Notamacropus eugenii: one gene and its partner. The protein of the gene in region 1 interacts with the protein of each later gene in a pairwise test. Links are inferred from orthologs where the notes say so. Each region holds a gene or a part of one and is shown in the gene's direction. Other genes may lie near its edges.

Region 1 (7,307 bases):
ATGTACGGTACCATGGGCCTATATATGGCTAACCAGTATGGCTCAGACACTGCCAAAATCTACCTCATTGTGACCAAGTGGTGGTTCAAGGTATGCATTCCTTTGAAATCCCTCCAGTATTTTGGCAACAGAGATGCCTATGCATACACTGAGCATGCTGCCCCATTGCTGTCAGCGTTAGGGAATTTGGGGGTGGGGGAGCATAGACAACACTAGAGAAGCTGTTGGACTGAAGTCATTCTCCCCAATCTCCCAGTGCCTTCTCCTCTTGTGTACACTTCTCTCTTGTTGCTGCTGCTGTTGCTGCTGCTGCTTTTGCTGTGGGATGAATGTACCACAAGAATATGACGATTTTAAGTGTAGAAGGGATCTACAAACACAACATGCAGGCACAGATGTGCAGAAACAACCTTCAAGGACAGGTGAGGCCAAAGGAAAGTGGCCAAGGTGAGATCTGGGCCAAGAGTAAAGGTAGGAAGGTCTGAAATGAGAGGGATCTCTGAACCTGGGGTCCCCTAAAGCTAGGAGAATGAGATCTGGGATGGGATCAGATTGAAAGGTAATCAGGGTATAGAATCTGATGCTTTTTCAAGGTGCATATAATTTGAGTGAATGAAAAAGCATTTATTAAGTGCTTACTCCAAGCACTGGAGCGACAATGCAAATAATGAGATAGTCTCTGCCTTCAAGAAACTTCTAATAGATAACACATTCAAAGAAGTGGTGTCCTGGTAAGGCAGCTTTGGTTCGAGGAGTCAAGGGGACATTGAGTTGATCTATAGAACACTTGATTGACACACCCTTTCCAAAAGCAGGGTGGTATTGTTGATTTGATTACTAAGCGTTAGATATGGAAAAGTGAGGGAGGAAAGGAATGCCAGTAACTCATATGGTGAGATGATCTGGATAAATAGCTGAATAAGATGAGGCACAGTATGGTCTAGGGCTTCCTGGATATATTCTTTATTGATAGTTTGAGTATGATACTTATCCTGTCTAGGGTCTTTGCTGAGTTGGGAGGTGAGCCTAAAAGAAGTCATAGATGAAGGTGGGTTAGGAGATATACTTTTTGATATTTGCTCAAAAGATAACCAGCTTTTAATTTTTTAAATTAAATGTTTGTCAACTGATTTGATTGATCAGTTTAATCTAAAAGTGATCTTAAATTTCTGCCTCATCGCCATCTCAGGATCTCAGGAATAACTTCAGTGTAATGGTATTAAGTATTAGATTAAGACCGGAATTGTAGCTCATTTAAAGAAATGTTTGTATTCCAAATTCCATAGATGGAACTGAATATGCTTTCTCCAATCTGAACCAAAAAATGGATGAAGATGAAGAGGCACAAAATGCAGAAACTGACAAACAATAGTGTTCAAGGAGAAGAGAAGAAAAGGGGCTAAGGCAAAAAATTAGTGAAAAAAGTATATAACTTTATTGTATCTTGATTACAAGTTAAGTAATAAAGGGTTTTTTTCTGTATACTTACTTTAAGGGTTTCATCTTAATATGGTACTTGCTTCTTCTGTTTCCAGATGCTGACCCTGTGAATGTGTCTTCTGCTGCACAGTCTACTGTACACACTGAAGAAGGGGACCTCTAACCCCAGTCCTGATCTTAACCCTGCTCCTGTAAGCACCATGAATGCTATAAGCACTGCTAAACTCTGGCCCTCTCCCTATGAGAACTCTTTCCCTGACCTTCACAGTATCACCAGATCTGGCTAGAATACTATAAATCCCAACACTGTAAGCACCATCCCTATGTAACTTTCCTAACCTGGCCCCAAATCTGAATACAGCTGGAAACAATACCATGTATTTCATGCCATCTCAACCTTGCGAAATCTTGGGCTGACAGAGCTGCCTTCTCCCCAAAAGAATTGTGTCTTGTTCCCATGTAACTTAATGGTAACCACTGGGGTCTGTGTCTCTAAACTGTCTGGGATAATGTCTCCCTCAGAGACAGCTGGTGGTACCTCTGAAAGAGCACTGGGTTAGAGTCATGAAGACCCGAATTCAAATTTGACCTCAGATATTTACTAGCTATGTAACCCTGGGCAAATTATGTAACCTCTGTTTACCTTAGTTCCTCAACTGTAAAACGGGGGAAATAATAGTACCTACTTCACAGGGTGGTCGTGATTATACATACATACATATATGTATATGTATGTATATACACATATATACATATATATGTGCGCATGTATGTGTATATATACATATACATCCACTCAGCACAGTGCCTAGAACATAGTAGGCACTATATAAATGTTTATTCTCCTTCTCCACCCCACACCCTTCAGGGCAGGAGCCACCTTGCAGGGTAGATTCTGTACTTGGACTTTATGCATGAACTGATGCTTCCCTCCATTCCCTTGGATCTGGAATCCCATGGCTGGGCTGAGTCCTAAGCTGACCTTCCTGGGGTGGGCCCCATCTCCCCTTGCCTCCTAGTACCCTTTGTATCTGAACCACTTTATTCCACTGTGACTCAGCTCTCAAGAATGAGAAGGAAGGAAGGAGAAAAGGTTACGATGCTTTGCCAAATACTCTAGTTTCTTTCTACCAGCATTCACCCAGCCTTACCCACATGGTGTTCTTGGGACATAGTCTGTCTTCTTCCCTAAGGTTCTTATTCCCAAGACAGAGGTGTTAATTGCATCCTGGAGGAAAAAGTACTTCTCACAAAACTTTCCCTTTATTATGTCTTCTGTGCCAAAGTATTGGACCCATTTCAGTTGCTTTCCACAAACATTCCACCAAGGGCCAGCCCATATAGCCTCCCCTTAACTTAAAGTGAAAGAATCAAGCACTGTTTTGGAGCAGGAAGCACTGGGATTGAATATACATCAATGAATAAAGAAACTTTGTGCAGTGGATTGGGGACAGAGAAGACAGCCTAGAAACAGTTTGTAGAGATGAGTACCAGGGTTCTGCTACCAGGGTTGACAACTTTAATGACTAATTTGGTGGTATTTGGCAGTTTTATAGAGCTTCGAGGTTATGCCTTTTCTTAGTGGGTTAAAGTTGTTTTCCTTAAGACCTTTGACCCCTATGCCCAAAATGGGTTACAAGTACCTAAATCTTCTTTATACTCACCTCAGTTCTTAACTTTCCCCCCAGATATGGAAGCTTTACTATAACTGACAATCTGTTCATGGGACTATATTTTCTCCACTGCCTATTTCTATTTATTTTCCTTGACTATATGTTCCCCCATAGTGCCAATGCTGAGCCCATCACATGAATAGAAGAGGGCAATTTTTTTCCACATTGAGAGAAATCCTTTCAAATACTAGGCATAAGAGAAGAAGAGCCTGGTCCATGAATCTATCCGGTCTTAAAAATGCACTCCAGGAAATAAATTTCAGGCCTTGATTGGGACTTCATCAGTGTAGGCAATAATGTCTGATTGATGCCTCACTGGTCAAATGGAGGCAAAGTTGGATTCTTTATGACTATGCCAGCAGAACCCAAGCTCTGCTAGGTCCTATCAAAGTTAGAAAGCTTTGAGTATAGGCTGGTGACATAAATTCTCTATATGTCTGAGGACTAACCTAGCTAAGGCCCAAGAGATTCATCATGAGCTTGGTCACAACAAGGTGATTCAGTTTTTTGGTCACAGTAATTCTGGAGGAGTTGTGATCTGTAACTGTAGAATGACTTCCACATTGATGAAATAACTTGTCCTTGAATCTAGGTACCACCAGTTCATTGGATATCAAATTCCAGAATGACTTAGGCAGAGTCCTGGGGGAAAACAGGGGAGGGACTATCTTTTGCCATGAATCTGATAAGATGTGGATAGAGAAAGGAGGTCGAGGGTTACTGTGGCGGGTCCAAGATATATCTAATTCCCATTGTCCTTGTCAAAACTCTCCAGTTCTTGGGCCTTCCCAGCTGCTGAGCCATGGCTGGATGCCTTCACTGGGATTATTTGTAGGGTCATAGTCTTTGTGTCCAGGATAAGGCCCAAACTGGAGTATGACTGAGTAAAAACCAATGGGAGCCCTTTTAGAATTGGTATGTGAGAGACTGAAGTATTCCAAACTCTTTTTCTGGCTCAGGTTTGCCCCCTATTCCCACAAAGGCTCTAGCCCCTCCTCCAGCCCCTAGTCTATGTGACTCAGGGTCACTTGTTTGGTGACAGCTGTGGCTCCCCTTACACAAGCTAAATTGGGAATAGGAATGTGAGAGATTGTGTCATTGAATGCCCCTAGTCTCCCCTATCCCCAAGTTAAAATTAGTCTCCTGCTTTAGGATTAAGGAACAAACAGCAGTGCCTAAATTGTGAGCAATAGTCGGCCATTTGGGGAGCAGGAGATAAGACTATCCCAGGAGTGAGGGGGGAGCCATCTGAAGTGTAAGGGCAAGACAAAATTTTCTTAATCTGCCTGGTCACTCAGAGTAGAAAAGTAAAGATTAAAAAACAGCTCTCCAGAGAGAGAAAATCAATTGGCTGCCTAGGGGCCACGAGGTGGATTGATTAAGGGACAGAACAAGGAGACAGAAACAACTTTTAAGAAAAATCTAGACAGGCTGTAGCAAAAAAAGGGGGGCAACAGCTGAAGACAGACTCACATAGCTGAGAGAATAAGCCAGGTTTGGAAAAAAGACCAAAGAGGGGTGGGCACGACCACCGAGGGGATGAACTTCGCAGTGGGTTTCAAGCCGCTGCTGGGGGATGCACACAGCATGGATAACCTGGAGAAGCAACTGATCTGCCCGATATGCCTGGAGATGTTCTCCAAGCCAGTGGTGATCCTGCCCTGCCAACACAACCTATGCCGCAAGTGTGCCAATGACGTCTTCCAGGTGGGCTCAGAGTCTGGGGTTGGGGGTGGTGGGGAAAGAAGAGGGGACCCGTTGATTATGCTATCAAAGTTGGGGTTTGAAAATTGGATCCACAAGTGCCACTTACCGTGGTACACTGCTTTAGATGGATAGAAGCTTTAGGAAAGAGGTAAGATGCATGAGGGTGGCCAGCTTGTGGCTGAACAGAAAAGGACCTAAGGTGTCTAAGCAGATCACAAACCATAAGAATGTTGACAACACAGGTTTTACTTGTTTTGTATGGTGCTTAGTAGAGTGCCATGCACAAACAATCAAAATACCAGACAAGATAAATACCAGATTTGTGGGTTAGGTGTTAAGTATGGTTAAGTAGATTTAAAATTGGTTGAATGACCAGTCCCTCAAAGTAGTCCTTTAATAAAAACATATTGTGAAGCCAAACAGATTTCCATATTGACTCTGTCCAAAAAAAAAAAGTCTAAATCTGCACTCTGAATAAGTGCATGTTTCATTTAAGAATCTTCTAGAATCATGATTGATCATTGTATTTATCAGGGCTCCTAAGTCTTTCAAAGTTGTTTGTCTTTACAGTCTTTTTGTTATTGAACCAGTTGTTCTGGTTCTGCTCGCTTCACTTTGCATCTACATACAGTTTATACAATTTTCCCCAGGGTTTTCTGAAATCATCCTCTTCATCATTTCTTATAGCACCAACTTCATCACATTCATACATCATAACTTGTTTAGTCATTTCTCAATTGGTGGACACTCCCTCACTTTTCAATCCTTTGCCACTGCAAAATGATCTGCTATCAATATTTCTGTACATCCTTAGCTAATGTTTGTTCTACTTAAGATTACTCTCTCTATTAATTTACCCTCCCTTTTATTCTCCCCCTCCCAATCTTTCCTTTCCTTCTTGTTTCCCTGTTGAGTGAAATACATTTCTGTACTCAACTGTGTGTATGCATTTTCTGTCCTTTGATCAATTCAGAAAAAAGGGTCAAGTATCACCAGCTTCTTCCACCCCTTCCTCCTTGTTTGTATAGATGTCTACTTGGGTACCCTGATGATGTGAGATTTTCCCCATCCTTTCTCTCCTTTCCGTTCCTTTTATTAACCACCCCCTTTTTGTTCTTTTAAGATAAGCCATAACAGAACTACTCCCAAGCGCTCTGTCTAATTAGATGCCATCTCAGACCACTGATAATGATAGGGAACTGAAGATACGTTTACATCATTTTCTCATATTATAATGTAAACAGGTTATCCTTATCCCTTATGATTGCTTGTTCATGTTTACCTTTTTGTATTTCTCTTGACTCATGTATTTATTTGTACTTCAAATTTCTATACAGCTCTTGTCTTTTCATCAGGAATGCTTGGAAGTCTTCTCTCATTAAATGTCCCTTTCCCCCCACCCCCCTGCAGGATTATACTAAGTTTCATTGAGTAAATTATTCTTGGTACGTCTACTTGGCAAGTGGATCATATCCTCTTTTTTTCTGGAATACTTTGTTTCCAAGCTCTCTGCTTCTTCATAATGGTGGTTGCTACATCTTTTTATGTCTCCTCATTCTTCCAGCCTGCTTCCTGACTTTAGACTTTATGTTAGGGTTAGATCCTGCACTCTTCTGGAGAAAAATGCTTGAGCTGACCTTGAATCCTCTAGATTCTTACTATTGCATTCTTGAAGGTATTGAGTTTTGTGTTATTTCAGGATCTCAAAGTAGATCTTCCAGCTCAGTAGAAGCTAGGGATCTGCAAGCTTTTTGTGGTCCCAAAATCATTTGCTCTAAGGCAAATCTGTTCTCTTCCTTCCTAGTCTGAGCTCTGCAATTTCCTGACCTAGATTTGGATCTGAGCAACTCACTTGTGAGCTTGCCCCAGTTTTAATTTCAGTATTCTACTGTTGAATTCAATTACTATTAGCCAACTGGAAAATTCTTCTGGTACAGAGGGACAGAACTGCAAACTCCTTTGGTGATTCCTCTGCAGGCTTCAGATGGGACTGGAGACTGGAACAGAGATCCTTCTCTTCTCCTGAGGTCAGAGCCACAGAGCTGCTACTTGCTCAGTATATAGTCTCAAGTCCACAACCACTCCTCACCCTGGAATACTACTCCTAGTGCAGGTCCCCTCTACAGTCAACCTTAGATCTGTGACCTGAAACTATGTAGTGAGCAAAAAAGTTGCCATTTGACAGCTATTCTTGTACCCTATACACTTGGAGGTCCATTTACTGGATTTAGAATTTCTTCTTGCTCTGGTGTACAGTCTCTCTTTGCACTGGAATGCTTTATCCAGGATAGGCCCCCACAAGCAGTATCTCTAGATCTTTTTGTCTGCCTCCCTGCATTGATAACCTGGGCTGAAAAAAACTTTTTTTTTAATTTAAAGATCAAGATTCAGATCTATTTTCAGGTACAGTGAGAGAGAGTGAACTTGTCTATACTTCTTCCTACTATTCTGTCATCTTAGCTCCACCCTAAGTAACTTACATTGCTT
Region 2 (7,636 bases), on another chromosome or scaffold:
CAATTATAAATGAGGGGGGTGAGTAGATGATGTTTCAGCTTTAAATACTGGAGTTCATTCATCTGAGGAAAAGTCAGTTCAACAACAAATTTATTAACAGTAACAAGGCACTCATTATCAGGGGAAGATACTGTGGATACAAAAATAAAGGTTTCTGTGCTAAAGAGTTGATGATATAAGAGGAAAGATGCGTTTACAGATAAGCATAATACATATGCAAGAAAGCCAAAAGTTCATCATTATGGGTACTCCCTCCATAGTGTTGACCTGAAAACTTGGTTAAAGAAAAGGCAACAGGCTAATTGCATACATTTTATGATTTAATTAATTAATCAATCAATTCCCTATTAAAGGTAACGGTAACATAATGCATTATGGAGCCAGAAATGTTCTGGCTACCCAGTGCAGAAATCTTCTGGCTTATATACATTATGCTGTGAGAAAGGAACTTTCCTAGTTGAACAAATCATAAATTTAGTAAGACAAGACAATTAACAAAGTAATGTTGGTCAGGCCTTGCAATTCCAGCTGGGTAAACATATGTCTCAGTGACGAGAAAGGAAATCCCACCACTAGTGAGTGGCAGGCTTCCTGCCCTAAACAGATAACTGACATAGGAAAAGGCTAAACAAAGTTCAATAGAAATTACGACCTAAGATGTCTATTTTTCTTTACCATTAATATGCCATAACATAGTATATGTCTATAGATAATAAGATACAAAGGAAAGCCTCATTATTCAAGATATAGTGTCTTAGGTTAAAGGTCTTCTTAAGGAGTGTAGAGTCGGCCTTGGCTGGCTTTTGCTGACATAGGAAGAGGCACTCTCTGAGTTTGCTTCAGAGAGAACAAAGAGATTATTCTAAAATTTTATATTAAACATTATCAATAGAAAGAGATCAAAACCCTTTCTGACCTTGAGAGATGGCTAATAGGAGTTACTGTGGACTAATAATTCATTGCTTGATGGCCAACCTTCTGGTGATGAACATCTCCAAATAAAGCTAGGCTGGGAGTCTGTTGTCTACTCATATTTAAAATCTTTCTGGCTCAGTAGTGTTGGCAGAGTCTTTGCAAGTTTACATTCTTTTCCATTTCATAGAGAGGTAAGAGTAAAAATTTAGTAGGTTCCAGTCTCTGACTAGAGAGATGCTTAGAATTATACACATGTAACAATGTCAATAGGGAAGTAAAGAGGTGGGAGAGTGGGGCAGAGCAACACAAAAACAGAATATTTATCATGTTAGGCCTATACTCAAGCTGAATGATATTCCTGACAGATTATGAGGAGATGTTGAAAGAAGGAAAAAGAATATGAAGTAGAAAGAAAGGTAGCGATCACTAAGTTTTGTGTGGTTTTGTGTTTTGTTTGGGGTTTGGTTGGTGGGGAAGGATTCAGAAATGTGAGCATGGAAGAACTCCCATTAGGGAAACTCCACCTATGAAACTCAGCAAATGTAACCCATAGTTTTGGAATTGCCTGGGGCACTAAGAGGTTAATTGATTTAGCCTTATTCACACCACTAGCATATGGCAGAGGCAAGATTTGAACCCAGCTTCCAGATTCCAACACCAGCTTAACCATTATCTGTGGTTCTTGGACCATATAATCACCCAAAAAAAGAGGTACAGGGATAGGATATAAAAAAGGTTCAAGGACAACACCTGAAGAGCACACACTGAGAAGTTTCCTGAATGTAATCAGAAATAATAAATCAATTTGTTAATCAATTTGTTAAGCCCAAGAAAATATTACAATGACATAAGAAGTAGGCAACTATATGTAAGACTAGGGATTTGCTGTGGAAATCATTTAATCAACAAGTGGCTACTGTGTGCCAGGCATTCTGCAAAGAGCTGAGGAAAAGAAGATCAAAAGGAAGTAGTCCCTGCCCTCCAGAAGCTTACAATCTTTCAGGGGAAATCACATGGACACAAAATAAATATAAAATATGTACATAGTCATTGGGGAAAGCACAGGGGTCAGAAAAGTCTTCATGGAGGAAGCCCTCTCTAGCTCAGCTTTGAAAGTAATTATGGATTCTAAGAAGTAGGAGTGAGGAAGGAATATAGCCCAGTAGGGGAGGAAGCAGCCTGCACAAAGGTGTGGAGACTGAAAATGGAATGTGATGTTTAGGAAACAGCAAATAAACCTGTTGGGTAGGACTGTAGAGTGTGTGAAAAGGAGAGCTGTGGGCCTGGAAGGATACTGTGAAATCACAGATTTAGAGCTAGAAAGGATTTTGGAGGCTATCTGCTTTTAGAGGTCATCAACATCATTTTACAGATGAAGTACAGAAAAGTTAAGTGACATGCTCCAATGTCTGAAGGAGGATTCAAACTCAGGTCTTCACGACTCCAAGTCTAGTGCCCTATCCCCAATTCACCTGGATGTCAAGTGGTGTAGATGGAGACTCTGAAGGACTTTGAATTATAGAGGTGCTGGTATTTTTTCTTATCAGCAATAGGGAGCCACTGGAGCTTTTCCCTTTTTTTTCTGACATGGTGCAACAGCTTTAGGAATGTCACTTTGTCAGTTCTGAGAAGGAAGGGCTGGAGAGGAGAGAGACTAGATGAGGAAGCTATTGCAATGATCAAGATGAAAGGTGAAAAGGGCTGAAACTAGGGCAACAGTTGAGTAAGTGCAGAGAAGATGCCAGAAGTTGGAGATGTTGTAAGACTTGGCCGCTAGCTGCCTATCAGAAATGGAACATGACTGAGGGTGTGAACCTGGGGGACTGGAAAGATGGTGGTGTTCTCGATACAAATAGGATGATTAGGAAGAGGGGTCAGCTCCAGGACAATAGAGGAAAATGGGTCATGTACAGGACACCCAGTACAGCTTGTTCAGGGATCAATTATAGATAGAGGACTGGAGCTCAGGGAAGAGATGATGGCCATTGTAGACGCAGAAGTTACCTGCATTGAGATGACAGGTGAACCCGTGCAAGCGATGAAAAGTTAGAGGGCATCGAGGACCCAGGACAGAGTTTGAGAGAGCAGGGCCTGAGTGGTGATCCAACAAAGGTGGTCGTGCTAATTCCTGGACTGGGAACATGGTAGTGATAAGGAGACTAAGGATTTGATTGTAGAGACGGAGTAAGGCAAAGTGGTAAATTCTAGAATTGATGTTTGCAAGGGAGGAAAAGGAAAGTGAGGGCAGAGCGGGGAGAAATGATGGGTACAATGAAGGTCAAAAATAGGTTTAGGAGGAGCAAACCATCCTAGGATAGGTTGGAGAAAGGACTTTCTGAATTCCTTACCATGGAATTGAATCAAATCAGGAAAAGTATAAGGGGTGTGTGTATGTGTACTCTCTCTCTATATTTAGACACACCATATGTACGTTCTGCATGGTTACGTAGACTGTTCCTAGATGTGGATCTGGAGAGAACCTCAGAAACTGTCCAGTTCAAACCCTTCCTTCGACAGAGGAGACTGAAGATCAGAAGGTTTCATATTTAATCAGTGACAGGGTCATTCACTCTTATGCCAGAACCAAGGATTTTTCACCAGTCATCAGAGGGTCATGTCTGTCATTTTCTGACCCGGGTTTTAAGACCGGGACTAGAGGCTTAGCAATGACTGCCTTACCAGGTCAGGGCTTCAAGGCGGAAGGGAGAAGAAACAGACAGTAAACTACAGGTCTAGCCATTAACCTCATCAGAGGCTTAAACCCAGCCGTGAAATGAGATGGAGCCCAAAGGGAATGCTCTCAGGGAGACGACACACACAGCAGGGCCTGGGGTGGGGGGCGCCGGCGGCCTGGGGGTTCAGGAAGGCCTTCTGTGGGAGCTGGTGCTGGAGCTGAGCCGACTCGAACGGGGGATGCCCCGGGGCAGAGAGGAGGGAGGGCATCGCAGACCGGGCCAGCCTGCGTGAAGGCAGAAAGGTCCAGCAAGGTCACCCGGGGCCGGAGGGGCCCAGCGCGGCGGAGGGGCCCAGCGCGGCGGAGGGGCCCAGCGCGGCCGGAGGGGCCCAGCGCGGCCGGAGGGGCCCAGCGCGGCCGAGGGGCCCAGCGCGGCCGGAGGGGCCCAGTGCGGCCGAACCGGGGCTGGGGGGGCGGAGCGGGGCATTAATGGGGTACCAGGAAGGCTGGAGTCTCCGTTGGGAAACATGTTAAACGCCACAGTTCGAGTTTGCTTCGGAGCCACCGGGGCTTCTGAGCCCCGCTCCTCTCGGGGATCCCAGCCCAGCTTTGGCGAGCCGGGGAACGATGCCCATGCTAAATGCTGGGCTGGCATCGCTGCCCGGGGACGGGCGAGGGGGCACTGAGGGGGTCCGGGCTCCCGAGGGGGAGGACGGGCTGTTAGGTGCGGGGCGCTGCAGAGGTCCGAGCTCTCCAGTCCGGGTCAGGCCCGCCTGCGGCCCCCCGGGAGCACCGTCCGAGGACGCGGCCCCAGGGGTCCTCGGGGTCCCCCCAGCCCCGGCCCGGGGCGGGTCAAGGACGCGCCCTCCCCCGCGGGGTGCCCGGCGCGCGTGGCCGCGGCCTGGCGGGCGGGGCGGGCGCCTGCTCAGTGCAGGGGGCGGGGGCCGGGGAGGGGGGAGGGGGAGGAGGCCGGGCCGAGCCGAGCCGAGCCGCAGCCGGAGCGGGATGGCCGCCGCCGCCGCCGCGCTCGGCCCCGCCGCGCCCGCCCTCTCCAGGGCCGTGTCCGAGCTGTGCCAGAACCCCCGAGAAACCTTCCTGGAGGCCTCCCGCCTGCTGCTCACCTACGCCGACAACATCCTGCGGTAGGACCCCCGCCCCGCCCCCGCCGCGGGGTCACGGCCGCACGTGGTCGCCGGGCCGGGCTGCGGGGGGCCAGCCGGGCGGGGGGGCGGGGTGACAGCGGCGCGCGCCCCCGGGGGCCCGGGAGGGGGAGGGGCAGGGGTCCGCGGTGCGGCGGAGCCGGGCCGGGACCGGGGAGGGGGAGAGGGGGAGGGGTCCTTGGTGCGGCGGCGCGCGCCCCCGGGGGCCCGGGAGGGGGGAGGGGGTCCTCGGCCCGGGGCCGGGGAGGGGGGGAGGGAGAGGGGGGGGGTCCTCGGCCCGGGGCCGGGGAGGGGGAGGGGGGAGGGGAAGGGGAGGGGTCCTCGGCCCGGGGCCGGGGAGAGGGGGAGGGGGGGGAGGGAGAGGGGGAGGGGGGGAGGGAGAGGGGGAGGGGTCCTCGGCCCGGGGCCGGGGAGGGGGGGGGGGGGAGGGAGAGGGGGGGGTCCTCGGCCCGGGGCTGGGGAGGGGGAGGGGGGAGGGGGAAGGGGAGGGGTCCTCGGCCCGGGGCCGGGGAGGGGGGGGGGGGGTCCTCGGCCCGGGGCCGGGGAGAGGGGGAGGGGGGGAGGGAGAGGGGGAGGGGTCCTCGGCCCGGGGCCGGGGAGGCGCCGCCTCTGCCTTAATGATGGGTGCCCGGGACACCCGGGAGACGCGGGGAGGCCGTGCGCGGAGGTCGGGCTGGGCGCACGTCCCCTGGCCCCCTCTTGTGCGTCTGCCCCCGGGCAGTGCCCCCCCCCCCACCCCGCCTTGGGCCCTCGGTTTGATAAACGCGCCCGATCCCTGCCGAGAGTGGGACAAGATTCAGAGTCACCGCTGCGGCTGCCCACCTCGGGGCCTTTGCCCCGGACGGTGTACGGTTACTTGGGCACCGCTGGCCGTGTAAGCCGGTGTGTGCGGGCCTGCCGGGTGCCAGAGGACATGCCACCCTCCCGTGCCCGCTGCGCCCCACCTGCCCAGGAGGCCCGGGGCCGCGGACAGTCACCCCCAGATCCCCTTTACCCCCGCCCCGAAGAACCGCGGACTGCTTGGTGCCCCTCCAGCCGTCTGGGCATGGAGCTGTTTGTAAACAACTTGGCAGCGTTATCCGGGACCCGGTTCTTGTCTCAGCCTTAAAATGAAACCAAAACGCTTAGAGCAGATACCCCTGATCAGTGAGATGTCTGCCTGGTACTACCCCTGGCTTTGGGGGGCGTTCTGAGGTGTGTAGGTATTGATCAGCACGTTCACTGAGGTTCTTCTGAGGCCTGTGCACAGGCATGAGTCCCAAGCTCCCCCCACCCCCCGCTGTGTGTGTCTGTCTGTGTGTCTAATCGAGAAAGGGGACAGGATTCGGGGTGCCTAGGGCAGGTGCAGGAAAAGCCTGGGAGTTGACATTTAACCTCAATTCTTTCACTTCCCCGACTAGCCCCAGCCTGCAGGTGCTGAGGGGCCCTTGGCCTCGGCCCAGGGCCCTCCTCAGGGGCTCTGACCCCTTTCTTCCAGGAGTGACCCAAGCAGAGTTACCTCTTGCATTTACAGAAAAGCCTCCAGATTGTTTTTATTTTTTTGTACCTTGCCTGGATGCCTCTGGCAGTATGACTGCACCGAGGACTCTCCCTCCTTACAGAGCTCTACAGACATTGAACTTCAAACTTCCAATACAAAGTGTGGACAGATCTTCACCTTTCTCCATTAGGATACTAACTCACAGATTTTTGTTTTGTGAACTGAAAATCCTAGAGTCAGGGAGAATTAACCACAAGATGCCACGGTGTCTGCAACATCGACAAACTGGTTCTGACCCATTTGTTTTACTTCATGATGAGTGACTAAAGCTTTACTAAAGACAAAATGGTAAATGACTTGCCAGAAATGAGTATCTTAGTAGATCGGGAAGTATTTCTGGACCACCCAAAGGAGAGCTTTGCACTCCGGTGCTTAATAAAGTTAAAAAATCACCATTTAAAAAAAGTTATAAGCCCTGCCGGACATCCTCTCTGTCAGCTGCCTTGCCCTTTTGGACTTTGGAAAGAGGAGCCTTCCATTACGTTTTCAGCTCTCACTCCATTTTCACTCAGATGCCCTCTGGCAACTGAACCAGCCAGCCACTGATTGTAGCTTTGTCAGAAGTTCAGTGATCTCTTAATTGCTTAATCCAGTGTCTCGTCTCAGTCTTCATCTACCTGCAGATTTTGATGCTGCAGATGCTTCCTCCTGGTTCTCTAGATGGGCCTTCTTTGTGTCCCTTGAGGGAAGAGAATCTTTCTGCCAGTGTTGTTCTCTGTCTCCACACCAAAGCTTGTGCATCCCCAAAGGCTGTCTCCTGAGCCTCTGATTCCCTCCCTTAGTGATCCAGCATATCTTGAAGTGTTTCCCCCCATTAGAATGTGAAATTGTTGAGGAGAGTGACTAGCTAGTATGCTTTCACTTGGAGCCTAGCACTTAGCCCATTGCCTGGCACATAAGAATAAGTACTCTAGCTATTTCAGCTGCTCTCACTGGTTCCTTGATCACTTCAAGTGACTCCCAAAGCTGTACAGAGATCACAGAGTATAGAATTGGAGATTTGGAAGCCACCACTGCCAAAGCTGTCTCGTCCAGCCCATACCTGAAGGGCATCCTCATTATTTCATGGACAGGTGCTTGTTCAGCCTCTGCCTAGAGAGCTTCCATGGAAACCTACTGCCCCTCGAGGCAGCCCTTTCCATTTTGGGGCCAGCTAACCTTGAAGATTTTCCTAATACCCAGCCTAAATTGGTGGTTTTGCAGTTTGCATTGGCATGGAGTTTGATACCTCTTCCATATAACAGCCTTCAGATACTTGAAGGCAGCTTTCATGTCCCCGGAGTCTTTTTTTCTTCAAACCGAGTCATTTCTAGTTTCTTCTTCCAGTCTTCATGAGATGTGGACTCG

What was found.
Region 2: the proteins of TRIM54 (region 1) and NGLY1 interact in binary tests that used the Homo sapiens proteins (3 or more experiments, as listed by UniProt). The two-hybrid records come from large-scale screens. The link is inferred for Notamacropus eugenii from reciprocal best matches to the Homo sapiens genes TRIM54 and NGLY1.

Annotation. Positions count from the first base shown.
Region 1 is NC_092872.1:528,548,020-528,555,326, forward strand, and holds the start of TRIM54 (tripartite motif-containing protein 54), read left to right. Parts: upstream 1-4,253; 5' UTR 4,254-4,652; coding exon 4,653-4,820; intron 4,821-7,307. Other genes in the region: DNAJC5G (dnaJ homolog subfamily C member 5G), read left to right, coding at 1-90, 257-422, 1,287-1,372. UniProt on the Homo sapiens protein: May bind and stabilize microtubules during myotubes formation.
Region 2 is NC_092874.1:28,791,334-28,798,969, forward strand, and holds the start of NGLY1 (peptide-N(4)-(N-acetyl-beta-glucosaminyl)asparagine amidase), read left to right. Parts: upstream 1-4,559; 5' UTR 4,560-4,594; coding exon 4,595-4,731; intron 4,732-5,510; exon of another isoform or gene 5,511-6,577; intron 6,578-7,636. UniProt on the Homo sapiens protein: Specifically deglycosylates the denatured form of N-linked glycoproteins in the cytoplasm and assists their proteasome-mediated degradation. Cleaves the beta-aspartyl-glucosamine (GlcNAc) of the glycan and the amide side chain of Asn, converting Asn to Asp.